Mus musculus: one gene and its partner. The protein of the gene in region 1 interacts with the protein of each later gene in a pairwise test. Links are inferred from orthologs where the notes say so. Each region holds a gene or a part of one and is shown on either strand. Other genes may lie near its edges.

The links. The genes of interacting proteins can lie anywhere in the genome.
Region 2: the proteins of Txlna (region 1) and Deup1 interact in binary tests that used the Homo sapiens proteins (3 or more experiments, as listed by UniProt). The two-hybrid records come from large-scale screens. The link is inferred for Mus musculus from reciprocal best matches to the Homo sapiens genes TXLNA and DEUP1.

Annotation. Positions count from the first base shown.
Region 1 is NC_000070.6:129,629,788-129,636,944, forward strand, and holds part of Txlna (alpha-taxilin), read right to left. Parts: intron 4,759-7,157; coding exon 4,588-4,758; intron 3,036-4,587; exon of another isoform or gene 2,498-3,035; coding exon 2,303-2,497; exon of another isoform or gene 2,182-2,302; intron 1,924-2,181; coding exon 1,804-1,923; intron 1,568-1,803; coding exon 1,493-1,567; intron 618-1,492; coding exon 525-617; intron 1-524. UniProt on the Homo sapiens protein: May be involved in intracellular vesicle traffic and potentially in calcium-dependent exocytosis in neuroendocrine cells.
Region 2 is NC_000075.6:15,623,155-15,631,020, forward strand, and holds the start of Deup1 (deuterosome assembly protein 1), read right to left. Parts: upstream 4,693-7,866; 5' UTR 4,669-4,692; intron 3,574-4,668; 5' UTR 3,529-3,573; coding exon 3,500-3,528; intron 187-3,499; exon of another isoform or gene 94-186; intron 1-93. UniProt on the Homo sapiens protein: Key structural component of the deuterosome, a structure that promotes de novo centriole amplification in multiciliated cells.

The DNA of each region.
Region 1 (7,157 bases):
ACGATGAGCTCCATGCCCCAAACCCACAGATTCAACTCCTGTAAATGGTACTTGGATAATTGCCATATGCATAGCCCATACACATACATATCTATTCACAATATTGTTTAAAAATATGCTGGGTGCCTTTATCCCAGCACTCTCGAGGTAGAGGCAGGGTGGGTATTTATGAGTTCAAGACCAGCCTGGTCTACACTGAGAGTTCCTGGGAAACCAGGATTACATAGAGAGACTACATCTCTAAAGAAATAAAATAAAATTAAAAAAAAAAAAAAAGCTACCATTGAAGCCTAGTAGAATGCATATTCTCTATTTAAAATTCCAGCATAAATAAAGAAATCAAACCAAACAATAATAGAAAAACAAACAGAAACTGTCCCCTCTGGCAGGAGAGGGAGCTATGGCCCCTTCTAACTACCTCTTGATATATAGAGTGCCTGTGAGGCTGCCAGGGCAGCTCAGGTCTGAAGGAAGCGGCCAGAACGCCCACCGTCCTGGCCAGGCTGAGGGCCTCCCTGTGTTACCTTTTCCATCTCCTGTTTGAACGTGGTGAACACTTCACTGCTTTTGGAAAGTGTGTTCTGGAACTCCTCAAACTTCTCCGTGTACAGGGCGAGCTGCGTAAGAAGCACAGGAGCACGATGAGGAGGAACGCGGACAGAGCCACTCTACTGAGACACCATCTCCTAATACCACACAAGCAAAGTCGTGCACAGCAAGGATGTGTTCCAACACGACAATCCTGCAAAGTCAGCCTTGGGAAGACGTCAGCATGTGGAGACACTGGTCTCATACAAAAACAAAACAAAACAAAACAAAACAAAACGAAGCATACACTGATAGGGCTGAAGGGACGGCCAGAGGTTAAGATCACTGGCTGATCTTCCAGAGGACCTGGGTTCAATTCCCAGCACCTACATGGAGACCACAACTGTCTGGAACTATTCTAACCTCTAAAGGTACCAGGAACACAAGTGGGGAAAAATATACATCCATGCAAAACACTCATATGCATATCAATACAGCAAAATAAAAGTAGACAGAATTGAGCTAGACCTGGTAGCTAACGCCTCATGCATCTGGGAGTCAGAGGACTGTCACAAGTTCAAGGCCACCAGAGAGCCTGGTCTACAAGGTAAGTTCTGGGTTAGTTGTAGCCACAGCTAAACTCAGAGACCTGTTCTTCAAAGAACAACAAAAATGCCTGGCATGATGGCACATGCCTACATTTAATCCCATTACTTAGGAGGCTAAGACAGGCAAATCTCTGTGTTCCAGGCCAGCCTGGTGTACAAAGCAAGTTTCAGGACAGCCAGGGCTACACAGAGAAACTTTGTCTTTGGGGAAACAAAACACACATAAATAAAAGACTTGGCCGACACCAACAGGCCAGCTGGCACAAAGCCAGGCTATGACAGTCCTGTCTCCACTGCCCTGCAGATGGGCCCTTGTGAAAGCATCCTGGAAACTGCAGGTCAGGTTCCCGTCTCACCTGCTGCTTTAGGTGGGTCTCCTGCTGCTTCATCAGCTCGCACATCCTCTGGGACTCCACCGCTTCCTTCAGGAGCTATTTCCAAGACAGGACCCCAGAACCTGTCAGAAGCCCCTGAGGGTATGTCTGACCTTCTTTAGCCACAAGCACTGGACCCACTGAGGCTACCTGCTCTCAGACTGCTGTCTGGACAGGCAATTACTGGATTGGGCAGGCAAAATCTCTCCCATCCATAAGAAATAGATTGAACTAAGCCAGAACCCAGCCCACTTCCTTCCAGCCCCACCACAGCCCTGGGGCCTGAGCCTCACAAACTCCTTCTCTCGCTGGTGCCGCTCCTCTGCCTCCTTCAGCATCTCCTGGGCCTGCTGGAGCTTGGCGTCCACTAGCTGCTGCTGCAGGTCCTTATGTTTGAAGACTTTGTCGATATGCTGCAGAAAAGGTAATTTATGGAGTCAGGAGTTCCCTTTCAAGAAAGCCCCAACTCTAGGAAACAAGGCACTTCATCCGGTCTCCTGCCGACCCATGTCCTTGGGAATGGCATGGTCTGATGTACAGGTCTGATGCGGAGCTGGGACGAGGACACGCCTCCACTCTAGCACTGAATACTCTACAGATGTCCGGTTCAGACACCAGGGATAAGCACTGGTGTGTGTGTGTGTGTAATCTCTTCTTTCCATTTATTTCAGCTCCTTATCTACAGGATACATCTCTTGAAGGAAGAGCAAGCCCAGGCCTGCAGTTGCGGCCCCAGGCCCTGGCACTCACTACAGACTCCCAAGCTGCTGGCCTCAATCGCCTGCAGCTCACCTCCTCACGAAGCTCGTATTGCTCGATCAACTTCTTGAGCCTCTCGGCTAGCTCCATATTCTCCTGGCGCAGCTTGGAGTTTCGCTCGTTATGCTGTTCCATCTGCAGCTGAATGTCATTCAGTGTCACCTGGAAGTGTGAAGTCACTTCTTTGCGCTTCTCCTCCTCCTCACGGGCTCGCTGCACGCCTTCTTCCTGAAGAAAAGAATTGTCCATAGTTGCCAGCCTTGCACAAAGCTCCCCTAACTAGTTCCAAAGTCCAGTCTTTGCCAACAGCGATTTGGGCCCTGGGGAGCACCAAGGATGTAGGACGTCATACAATGGGGTTTCCTAACATGCCTCTCTGTAAATCAGGTGTTATCAAGCGACTCTCCCAAGAATACTCAGGGTCCATGCTAAGTGCCATTCTGCAACAGCTGGACAGCCTGAATTCTTGTTCCCAGACTCTAGATTAAGTATTTCTGCTTGTTTCAATTTGTGTCCATTTTAATGTCCTTTAGTCCCTCCTGTTCCCCACAGAGAACAATATAACAAAATGTAGTCATATTCAGGACTAGCAGAGTTGTAAGAAATGAGGCACCTAAACATTCCCACTTTTATGAAGACAGCCTAGACGATTCTATCAATTAGCCACTTAGTGCTGTGCCCACTGACCCAGCCATTTCACTTCTGAAATTTAGTCTGTAGATAAAATTCCTCAGCACACAATTGGTAAAGGACATGGACACACATACTCTTACCTAGTTTTGGTTTTTAAGTTTTTTTTGTTTTGTTTTTTTGTTTTTTAAAGATTATAGCTGGGCGTGGTGGCGCATGCCTTTAATCCCAGCACTCGGGAGGCAGAGGCAGGCGGATTTCTGAGTTCGAGGCCAGCCTGGTCTACAGAGTGAGTTCCAGGACAGCCAGGGCTACACAGAGAAACCCTGCCTCGAAAAACCAAAATAAATAAACAGATAAATAGATATAGATAAATAAATAAATAGTACTGCACATGTGTGCACCTAGAGGCCAGAGGTCAAGTGCCATCACCAAGCTTTCTTTACCTTAGTATGTATATATGTATGTATTTATTTTGGTTTTTCGAGGCAGGGTTTCTCTGTGTAGCCCTGGCTGTCCTGGAATTCACGAGAAGTTTGTACTTTTTAAAGAGAGTCATGGACCTCCTGCCACTGGAGTTAGACAGTTGTGAGCTGCCATGTGAGAGGTGGGCACTGAAGCGGCTTCTCTAGAAAAGCGGCCCATGCCCTAACCACTGGGTTATCTGTCTGCCTGTCACCCACTGGGTTATCTATCTGCCCACCCACTTCTTGTTGGTTTTGTTTTAAGCTTTTTTATTTATTTAGTTTTTATTTTTGTTTTTGTTTTTTTCGAGACAGGGTTTCTCTGTGTAGTCCTGGCTGTCCTGGAACTCACTCTGTAGACCAGGCTGGCCTCGAACTCAGAAATCTGCCTGCCTCTGCCTCCCAAGTGCTGGGACTAAAGGCGTGCGCCACCACGCCTGGCTTAAGCTTTTAAAAATTTCTGTATATTTATGTGTCTCTGTGAATGTATGTCACATGTATGCAGGTGTCCAGAAGTCAGATTAGAGTATCAGATCTCCTCAAATGGCTTGCGGACAGCCGAATGTGGGTGCAGGAACAGTAATCGGGTCCTCTGGAAGACTACTAGGTTACTACTCAGCCATCTCTTAGTCCTCCATACTTCACCGAGGTACACTACTTAGGCCAGCTCTGCCGCCGGGCTCCAGGCCTTATGCTGGCAGTGGGAAGCACGCTCTTGGTTGATCCATCTCCCCACCTTGCATCCTGAGGTCCCATAAAGGTTTACTTGGCAGGGGACTCTGGAGCCTACTGTGGTGCCCAAGGTCTGCTGAAACGGCTTAGGACTGGGAAGTGTGCTCTTGAGCAGCTCTGCTGTCCCACACCCTCCTGCCACACCCTGCTCCTGCCCCTCTCAGCGCAGATCTGAAAAGCCATCAGGTTCCCCTTATCATGGATGAGAGCTTTTACACTGGGTGTCAGGACAAACAATCTCTGTGGTTTTAGGAAGCTGAGTGTTTGCAGAGGGAGCTGACTCCGGCTGACGCATCTGGTGCTTCCTGCACGCCAGGCAAGGTAGGCACAGCTGTTCTTTGGTGGACCTGGGACTGAGCTAAGCCTAAGCTGCTGCTGCTGTTACTTCTTCTTCTATAGTAAATCTTCCTATGAAATCCAAGCTGGCCCAGAACTCACTGTATAGCATAGCCGCAGTTGCCCACAAGTCCCAATGGATACTGATGGGCCTACCTTCAGGGACCGGTTGTGCCGTTGCAGCTCCCGGCACAGACTCTCAAGCTTGCTTCGGGCCAGGACAGCCTTGCTGTGTTCCCCTCGCAGATGGTCCTTCTCCTGCACGAGCTGGCTCTGCTTCTTCTGCAGGAGCTTCATCTGCTTCTGCGAGTTCCGATGCTCTTCCAGCTGAGAACAGGAGGCATAAGTGTCTGCAGGGCACCGTTACACAGCTCTAGAGATTCCTAAGCTAACCACTATTCACCCCTTCCACTCCAGGCACAACAGCTCCAACAAGAGCCTGCTCACACACCAAAAGCACGGGAACTTCTCATGCTCCTCCCAGAAACTGTGCAGGCTAACCAAGGGTTTCTTGGGGAAATAATAATGAATAATGACCAAGACCAATGAAGTCCGCCATCAGATCCCAGCCTCTATCCCAGTTGACTCCACTGGATGAGCCCATGGTCCACTCTGTTGGGATACCCACATCCTATCAGACAACTAATCTACATGCTACCAATTCAGAGCCTGTCTGCACCACACTCCTTTCTCAAGACACTGCTTTTTCCAACAACTGCTACTCTTTTATTTGGGGGGTGGGGGGGAGGTGTTGAAGATGAGGTTTTTTTGTGTAGCCCTCGATATCCTCGAACTCACAGAAATCCACTGTTGTGCCTCTCCTCCTGAGAGCTGGGATTAAAGGTGTGTCACCACTGCCTGGCTACAACTACTACTTTTTTTTAAAAGTTTTTTCAAGACAGGGTTTCTCTGTGTAGCCCTGGCTGCCCTGGAACTCAGAAATCTGCCTGCCTCTGCCTCCCGAGTGCTGGGATTAAAGGCGTGCGCCACCACTGCCCGGTATATTTTACATTTTAATCTTAGGCCTTTAAAGGCTGATGCAGTTCTCATAGCTTAGCAGATCCAAATCAGACTAGCCATCTATCAGCTGGGGTGAGGCTGCTGTCCTGAGTAGCACTGGCCTATCACTCCACGCCAGGACCGTCACCACTTCTTTAAATCCCCATCAGTATTTATGGTTCCTCCATTTCTCATCCTAATAGACTTGCAACTACTGGGCTTCATTCTTTTCTCCTAACTGACTCACCTTCTACCCTGGCTTATTCTTTAATCCCAGTAAAGCCCCTTTCCCTTATGCTGCACAAGTACCGAAGCAACCCTGCTTAAAGAAGTCTTCCTTAGCCGGGCAGTGGTGGCGCACACCTTTAATCCCAGCACTTGGGAGGCAGAGGCAGGTGGATTTCTGAGTTCAAGGCCAGCCTGGTCTACAGAGTGAGTTCCAGGACAGCCAGGACTGCACAGAGAAACCCTGTCTTGAAAAACCAAAAAAAAAAAAAAAAAGAAGTCTTCCTTATACCAATCCTTGGAAGGCTCCCTTCTGCCCAGAAAGGCCACCACCACTTTCTCCAATGATATACACCCCTTTCCGAGACAACTGCTTATCTCCTCTTTATATCTTCCCACCCCAGATATTGTCATCATTCTTGTTTCCCTGGAAACTCAGAGGAAACCAGGGGACTAGCAGCACACGCCCCCCATCTCTGACTGTACTTGTCTTCTTCACTTACAGACAGGTACAGACTGCTGGAGCCTCCCTCCTTGTGCGTTAGGCCTTAGCCCCCTCCTATATTAAGAATGTTACCCCAGGAGCTCAATTCCTCCTCCTTTGTAGCATCAGTATTCTCCTAGTTAAAGCCTTCCAAAATGGACTTTGTTTTTCTTTCTGGAACTCACTGTCAATTCACTCTGTAGACCAGGCTGGCCTTCAACTCAAAAGATCCACCTGCGTATGCCTCCCAAGTGCTGGGATCAAAGGTGTATACCACTCTACTAGGCTCTGTATTTCTTTTAATTTTACTTAATGTTTCTTTGTGTTTTGCCTGCATCTATGTCTACACTATACTTGTGGGCCTGGTACTTGCAGAGTCTAGAAGAGGACTTCAGAGTGCCCGGAACTATAGTTAAAGATGGTTGTGAGCTACCATGTGGGTGCTTAGAATCAATCCCAGGTCCTCTGGAAGAGCAGTCACTGTTTTTAAACACTGAGCCACCTGACCAGCCCCTCCTTTACTCCTCTCTATCTCTCTACCCTCAATCCACTCTACACTTTTACAATAAGAAAGGTGGCAAGACCATACTTGGCATTCTTTCTTTGGTGGTGGTGGTGGTGGTGGTGGTGGTGGTGGGGTTTCATTTTCAAGACAAGACCCTGTAGTCTGGGCTGGCCTTGAATTCCTGATCCTCCAGGAATTAACTAACGGACACACCACCATGCCTTGGTATTTCCCATGATCCAACATGGAGGTCATTACCTTGTCTCAAGAACTGAATCAAGCTCCTAGAGCTAACTTTCACTTCACTCAGGACTGAGAGCTAAGGAGGTAAAAGAACAAGAGCCACCCCAAAGACGGCCAATCAGGAGGCAGAGCATCCTGGGGAGATGCATGTACAGACACATCAAGATATAACTACACAATATCTGGGACCAACGCCAGAATTCTACCACCTGAAATCATTGGGAAATTTACTAATAAAGTTTCTCTTCTTACTGACTGGAAACTAATTTC
Region 2 (7,866 bases), on another chromosome or scaffold:
TTCATTATGGTCCTGCTGTAGGGGCTTAGCTCAGGCAAATCAGAATTTCTTTTTACTAACTGTAAATAAAACTGAATTTAATCCATCCCAAAGTGAGCAACTGAGGCTGTGACTCTGGAGAAGGACCCCTGAGGGTTAAAAAGACACACAGAAGAAGCAGTGTTGGCCAGGGCTTTTGGAATCCAGGTGGGAAGCTGCTCTTTAATAACCTATCTATCTCAGTTCTCTGGAAGATGAGAAGAGTTTGGTGGCTTGATGCAGAGGCATCCCAAGTTTTAGAAACCATTTGACAAGGTTCTATGAAAGAGATCAATGGCTCAGGTGTTAGTTACAGAATGCAAAGTATGTCTCAGAATGGAAGGCCAAGAAGGGGAGTCAGGGGGGAGAACAGGCTTTGGGTAAAGATGGATGAACCCACAAAATGTGCTCCTTTCCCAAGACTTACTAACACGAGGCAGATGGATAGTTTCACCTGACACATTAAACCTACAAAGGCAAAAAGAGTGGGAGCCAAGTAGCAACAACCTATGATGGTTACTGTTGGCTGCCACCTTTTCAGGATCTAGGATCACCTGGGAGACATGCCTCTGGGCGTGCCTGTGAGGGGATTTCTGGAGGTAAGACCCACCCTAAGTATAGTTGGTCCCCACCATGGGTGAGTCCTGGAATAAATAAGAAGTGAGCTCAGGGGCCCAAGGAAAGCAGTTCACAGGACAAAAATGATAGGCAGCTCCAAAGAGAGACATCTGAAAGAAACTGGAGGAAAAAGGACACTTCAGAAGTTTGTGACAACAGGATTACTAACTTCAGGAGCTAAAAATGTTGAGCAGGAAAGAAAATGATTGATCCTTATCAAACTCTGAGATGGACATGACTTATAAAGTCATAAGAAGATTATTGAGGCTACCAAAATCATGTCATATTGGGGGACAGGGAAGTTCGGAGCGTGTGTGTGTGTGTGTGTGTGTGTGTGTGTGTGTGTGACAGAGTGGGAGAGAGACGGAGGAAGGGAGGGAGGGAGGGAGAGAGAGAGGGGGGAGGGAGGGAGGGAAGGAGGGAAACAGAGATAGAGAGAGATCTAGTGTAAAAGTCAATAGCTAATACCTAAAATTGAAAAATCAAAAGCAGCAGTAAAACCCATTATTTGAAGATACCAAGTTAGACATCAAAAGCCTTGGGAAAGGGTCCCAGCCAAAAGGATTCACAGTGGCTGCCTTGGGAGTAGAAATCTGGCCGGGTACCAACGCAACTAGATTTTGTTTTATATTGTTTTGTAATCCATAGAACCAAATAAATTTTTTATATTGTGCACATAACTTTTTCTATCAGTGTTTGGTATATATTTGTATGTTTATGTAGTTTCAGAGCTTCATAAGCTCACTGTAGGTGCTAACTGTTGAAAGTGGGCTGCTTCAAGAAACATCAGAGGAACATGTCCATAAACTTGCTAACAAGTCCCTGGAGAACCATCCACATTTACTGGTTTCTTTACAACATGGGAGCCAGTGGGCTCTGAGCTCGGGACACTATGGCCATAGCCTACTGGGATGAGCAGCAGTCCTTCAGAGCACACTGTGGTGTGCTCACTAACTTCTGTAACTAACTGTAACTATCTTGTACCCAAACAAGTCTAACTCTCTCCACTGCGTTCTAAGTTCTTTAAGGACCAGTTCTGTTTTTAAATAACCTTGGCATTTCAGGGGTTAACACTCAGGACAAGGTACTTTGTCTTCAAAGAATGAATGCAGAGACCAGCCAGATCTTCAGCTTTGCAGGGCTAAGACAATCTGCTACACAAGCTCACGCCTGAATTCTACAGTCTGCCTTACTATATCCCAATGTCACAGTCTCTCTAGGGACCCAACACACTCTTAGCCTGACCTGGCTGTGCTGTGAACTCTAAGCAGGCGGCCCCTCTCACCTCCATGTGATCAATTTCCAGTGTAGGAAAGATCCAGGGACTGGAGCTAGATGTATTTCAATTCAACTCTTGCCTCCTTCACTGACCGCTATTCTACTGGTATAAATTCTTGTTCCTGTCTCCATCTCTCTGAGGCTCAATGGGGCAGGGACACAGCAATGAATACTCTTCGCCCTTCAACTTACAGTGGAGTTGGCTGTGGCTGGACAGGGCCATTATATATTGAAAAAACAAAAAGGTTGAAAACGCCCGGAATTAACCCAGCGAGCCTGAGAACCAACAGCTCAGCCCTCAGTGTCCTGGGGTGTGGTGATGGTGACTGTCTACCCTCACAGTTGTAACTAGCCATGAATTACTAGCATTGTCAGAGGGAATCCACAGATTTCTAGTCTGGAGAAAAGACCCAGCTTAGAAATTAGAGGATGGTTTCTACTATCCTCTTTACAGCTTCACACAGGCATGCAGGCACACAGGCATGCTGCCACACAGGCATGCTGCCACACAGGCATGCAGGTGACCAGGCAAGCTGAGCAATCCTGAGTCCAGCACCAACTATATATGGAATTTCTGAACTACAGCTAAACATATGCCACCCAGCTGGAGAGCACATTTCTGAGCCTTTCTTACAACTAAGTGAGACTGAGTTCTGGCCAATGATAGTGAACCCAGGGAAGCCCAACATCTCTAGGTCAGACTCCTAGGAGGAAAGTCTTTCCTGCCCTTGCTTTCCCCCTCATTATGAGCACTCACTACCAGGATGGAAGGCAAACAGTCACAGTGCTGGAGCAACCACTCTGGGTGTAAAGAGGAAACCACTCACTCTGACATAGAGATGAGTTTTCATGTTACTTAAGGCTGTGCATTTGGGGTGTGTCTCTGTGTGTGTGTGTGTGTGTGTGTGTGTGTGTGTGTGTGCATGTGTGTCACAGGTGGAGTAGAGTCACTGGACGTGAGCCACGAGAGTTGTGACTAGTGTCAAAAGCAGCTGCAGTCAGGCCTGGGCTCTGATGTACCTCTGCTGCCCCAGTCTGAGTCCAGCAGAGGTCAGATGGCTAGTGAAATATTCATGGTGCTGATGTGGGAGAAGAGGGAGGACAAATAATCGTGAAAAGGAATTTGGTCCATTTCCTACCACAGTGAATATTTTCTAAACCCCATTCTAAAATACCCAGTTCTTGCTCTGCTATGGAAATATATGTATTGCGGAGCTGTGTTTAAATGTTGAGAAAATGTGGCCAGTCTTAAGGATAGGAGCAGAGAAACACTCATCACAGCGAGAAAAGAGAAAGCTGGCCAGGAAGCGCTGTGTTGTGGACTTGTAAGGGCAGAGGAGGCCAGCATGGGTTCCGAATCTATAACGCCAACAGTATCAGTCAGGAAGTGCTGTCTTCCAGGGTGCAGACAACATCAGAAAGACTTACACCAGTAGATACTTCATAAGTTACTTGAGATTTTCAGTCTACTTACCGCCTCCCAAACCAATACATCCTTCTTTTAACAATTCACTTCAGAACTCACGCTTCCTCCAGACTTCTGGGCAAAGATGAGCTAATTAGATAGAATTTCTGAAGCACTTACCCTGCTGTGGTATGGGCTTGGTTCTCCATGCCAAGAAATGTCTACATCTGGCTTGGTACTTCTTGATATTTAATCTGTGAGGAGGGAAATTATTTAGAATTATAAAATGCTTAAACATATTAATATAAGATGTTATTTTTGTTGTTGGCATGCCATTTAGGATAGGTTCTCTGAGCATGGACGCTGTTGTTTCAACAGAGAAGGCCCACAGTGGGGGTGGGGGTGGGGGTGGGGGTGGGGTGGGGGTGGGGTTTCTTTGCCTTGATGAAACCAGCAAGCATACCTCCTTAACTCAGCTAGGCAGCTAGGTGTCAGTTGCCTAATTTGTGCAAAAGTTCCTAATTCCTGGTTTGAGAAGTGATATCTAGAAGCCCTCACAGTTTGCATCTTAGTGGAGTGCCTATCCTTTGCCTTTGAGTGTATTCTTTCATTGGTTTTTCTTGACCTTTTAAAAGAGTCGATTGAGCATGAAATTTAGTACGAAGTCCAAAAACAGGAGCTGGAGAACTGGCCCAGCAGTTGGAGGTCATCATGCTTAGAGTGCATAGAGAGGACCCAGCACCGGTCAGGTAGCTCAAAACCACCTAGTCCCAGGGCAATCAGATGCCCTCTTCTTCCCTGGCACCTACATGCCTCAACACACGCACTCGCGCGTGCGCGCGCGCGCACACACACACACACACACACACACACACACTCACAAAGTTGTCCCATTAGTGGACTAATTTAAAAGGATAAATGAACAAAGTGTTAAAATGAACTTAACCTTCCTAAGAAGTATATGAACTGAGAACGAGAAGGAGGGGGGAGGGAAGGAAAAAAAGAAGAGGATGAAGAGGAAGAAGAGGAGGAGGCAAGAGAGGAGAGGGTAAGGGGAGAAAGAAGAGAGTGGAAGAGGGGGAGGTGAACAGGATGAGTAGGAAGGGAAGGGGGCAGGGGAGAGGAAGAACCTCCTTTCAGACCATTTGCCACCACAGGAATTGCAGCAGTGAGACAGACACTGGAGGCGACAGGAGACAAAGCTAAGTCAAAAGGTTCAGACAAATTAAGGAGAGAAACTGAGGCACAGTTCCCTGGGTCGCTGGAAGCAGCAGTCCGGCCGGCCATCTCCTTGCTAGCTGCAGCCTAGGGGAGGGACAGGGCCTGGGTACAGGGAGTCCACCTGTTACCTGTACTGCTGTCTGGAGAGGTCTGCCCTGGCCTGGGCTGCGGGTCCCGCCCGCAGTGCCCGCCCGCCCAGCGCAGTTGGCGGCTGGTTCCCAGTGGGTTGCCATGGAGACGCGGCCTCCGCACCAGTCCGCTTCCTTCTAGCGGGAACTCCCCAGCACTGGCGCGGCCAGGTCAGTCCTCAGCCCGCCCAACCCGCTTAGCTGCGGCCCGCGGCTACCCAGAGGCGCGAGAGAAACGCGGGAGGACACTGCCCAACCAGAGAACCGGTGGGTCACCAAGAACGCCACCGCAGAGACTGGGCCTCAACCCTCTTCCCTTTGAATTCACCTTAGTAACTTCCAGCTGGGAATTGGTTAGGCTCACTCCACTGTCACTGTATTAGCACCATTTAAACCCCTCTCTTCCTCACAGTTCGCTGCGTCCTTGGAAAACTGCCAGTTAGGTGGATCAGGCTGTATTGGGGACAAGGGAGTAGCTTCTAATGGTGGGCACCAACCCGGGTCCTCGGTAACTGATTCCAAATTCTTTCCTCTTTCAGCCACATTCCAACCATAATTGATGACAGAATCTCAGTCTGACCCTGTTGATTTCACTGAGAAAATGACAGTATGTACCATATATATACCATATATGTGTATATATGATATAGAATACACACACAATATAGAAATCACAATACACTTATACATGTACTATTATGAAGATATGGGCACAGGGGAAAAATTCCTGAACAGAACAGCAATGGCTTGTGCTGTAAGATCGAGAATCGACAAATGGGACCTAATGAAACTCCAAAGTTTCTGCAAGGCAAAAGACACCGTCAATAAGACAAAAAGACCACCAACAGATTGGGAAAGGATCTTTACCTATCCTAAATCAGATAGGGGACTAATATCCAACATATATAAAGAACTCAAGAAGGTGGACTTCAGAAAATCAAATAACCCCATTAAAAAATGGGGCTCAGAACTGAACAAAGAATTCTCACCTGAGGAATACCGAATGGCAGAGAAGCACTTGAAAAAATGTTCAACATCCTTAATCATCAGGGAAATGCAAATCAATACAAGTCATATATATTATATATGTATGTGTATATATTTATATGACATAATACAGACAATAGAGAAATCACACAGATACATGTACTATATACAAGTCACACATATAAAAATATATGTGTATATATGACATAGAAAGCACACATGATATAGAAATCAACACACTGATACATGTACTGATATATATGTATATATATATCAGTATATACACATATATATGTATATATCAGTACATGTATCATATATATATATGTATATACATATATATATATATCACATACATAAATAGGTGTGCAGCAAGCAGACTTTCTAAGCACTTGGATGGGAATGCTGCTGGCTTGCTTTAGGAACATAACTGTTTCTCAGCACATCTGGATGATTGATTGCTAGTTCTTAAAACCTCTCATTTGCATTCTCCTTTCAACACTCATGTCAGTTTGCTACTTTAACATGGCGGTCAATTTTAATCCAACCCACAGTCCTCCATCCAGTTCTGCTTGGCTCTCAGATGAGTCATGTGGAATAATTCAGGATGCGAGTTCTGATTAGTGTTGCCCAGTTCTGACAGCGAGTAAGTGAAGCATGGTCATATCATCTTTTTCCTGAAACTTCATTATTCTGAGAATGTTAGTCATACCCTTTATTCTTGCCTAAGTTGAAACACACAATGTATTTTTCCTGTCAAGAATTGCAACCATCATTATTATTTGTTTGTTTGTTTGTTTTTGACAGTGTTGCTTTGTGTAGCCCTGGCTGTTCTGGAACTTGCTCTGTAGTTCAGGCTGGGCTCAAACTCAGAGATCTGCCTGCCTCTGCCTCTTAAGTACTGTGTGTGATTAAAGGTGTGTGCCTTCATGCCCTGCTATTTACTTATTTTGATTGTTGGTATCGGGAAGGTGGCACATGAATGGTTCACTGTAGGTGTCAGAGGACAAAGTGTAGGACTCTGCTCTCTCTTACATTTTGATTCCTGGGCATCATGCTTGTATACTCAGGCTTGGCAGCGTATGCCTTCACCAGCTGAGCCATCAGATGAGAGAGAGCAGGAAAAAGCAGAAACTGAAGGAGAAAGAAAACTTCATGATGGCTCAAATGTCCAAGACTGAACCCACTTACATCTCTTCACTGTTGCTGAAGCTGCAGGGACACTAGTGAGACACAGGCAGCAGGCGATGCGTTGCTCAGAGTTTTTAGAGAACATCAGCAAACCCAGACTTAGGATAAAGGATTCTGTGGAGGGTACATCTAGTTCAAGAACAACTGAAATGTGACTTCAGATTCAGTGCTTCACAAAATCTCCCCAGGAATTAGGGTTTCAAGTATTCAGGAACCCGTATATGCAGGAGTCCAGGTTTTGTAGAGGTGATGGTTGGTTTCCGACTTTCAGATGGATGAATGTGGGCGGGGTTTTTGAAGCCTGAGAGGACAGCTATGATAATGTAATTTAGGAAGTTGTATATATGTAGACTAGAACTGCCTGTAGCAGTAGAAGATTTTCTCCTTTGATCTCCCCTGCTGCGGCAGGGCAGCGTGAGTTCCTCACTAACAGCTGCATGCTCTGGATTCCCAAATGAAAGGCACACACACACACACACACACACACACACACATACACACTCACAGAGCCTTGTATTAAATATGCCTTAATCAGATCAATGACTGGGCCACTCCCAAACTTTCACATTGCTAACTTCTCACTCCCTATACTCCTGAATTATTACTTACTAAAATCTATAATCCTTCTTTGCTGCCCTATACCCCATGATGGGGGTCTAGAGAGACTCTTCCCCAGTTTTTACATAATTGGTACTCTGTCTTCTGCAGCTTTCAAGCCTGCATCTTATTACTTTCCTGGCATGGTGATTTTCTTTCTTCTTTGGTCCCCTTGGCTGTGATTCCTAAAGTCCTGCCACTATCTCCCTGCCTAGCCATTGGCAGCCAGCAACTTTATTTACCAATCAGAACCAGCAAGGGGGCAAGGACCCTTACTGTCTTACATGTGGGATTCTCATGCAATTTTGGGAACCTAGTTACAATACAAGCATAAAACCAAATCCATAACACTTCTCCTTTTTCATTCATTAAAAAAAGCCTTTCTCTCAGAAAAACAATGAAGATAGTTATAACAGTTATATA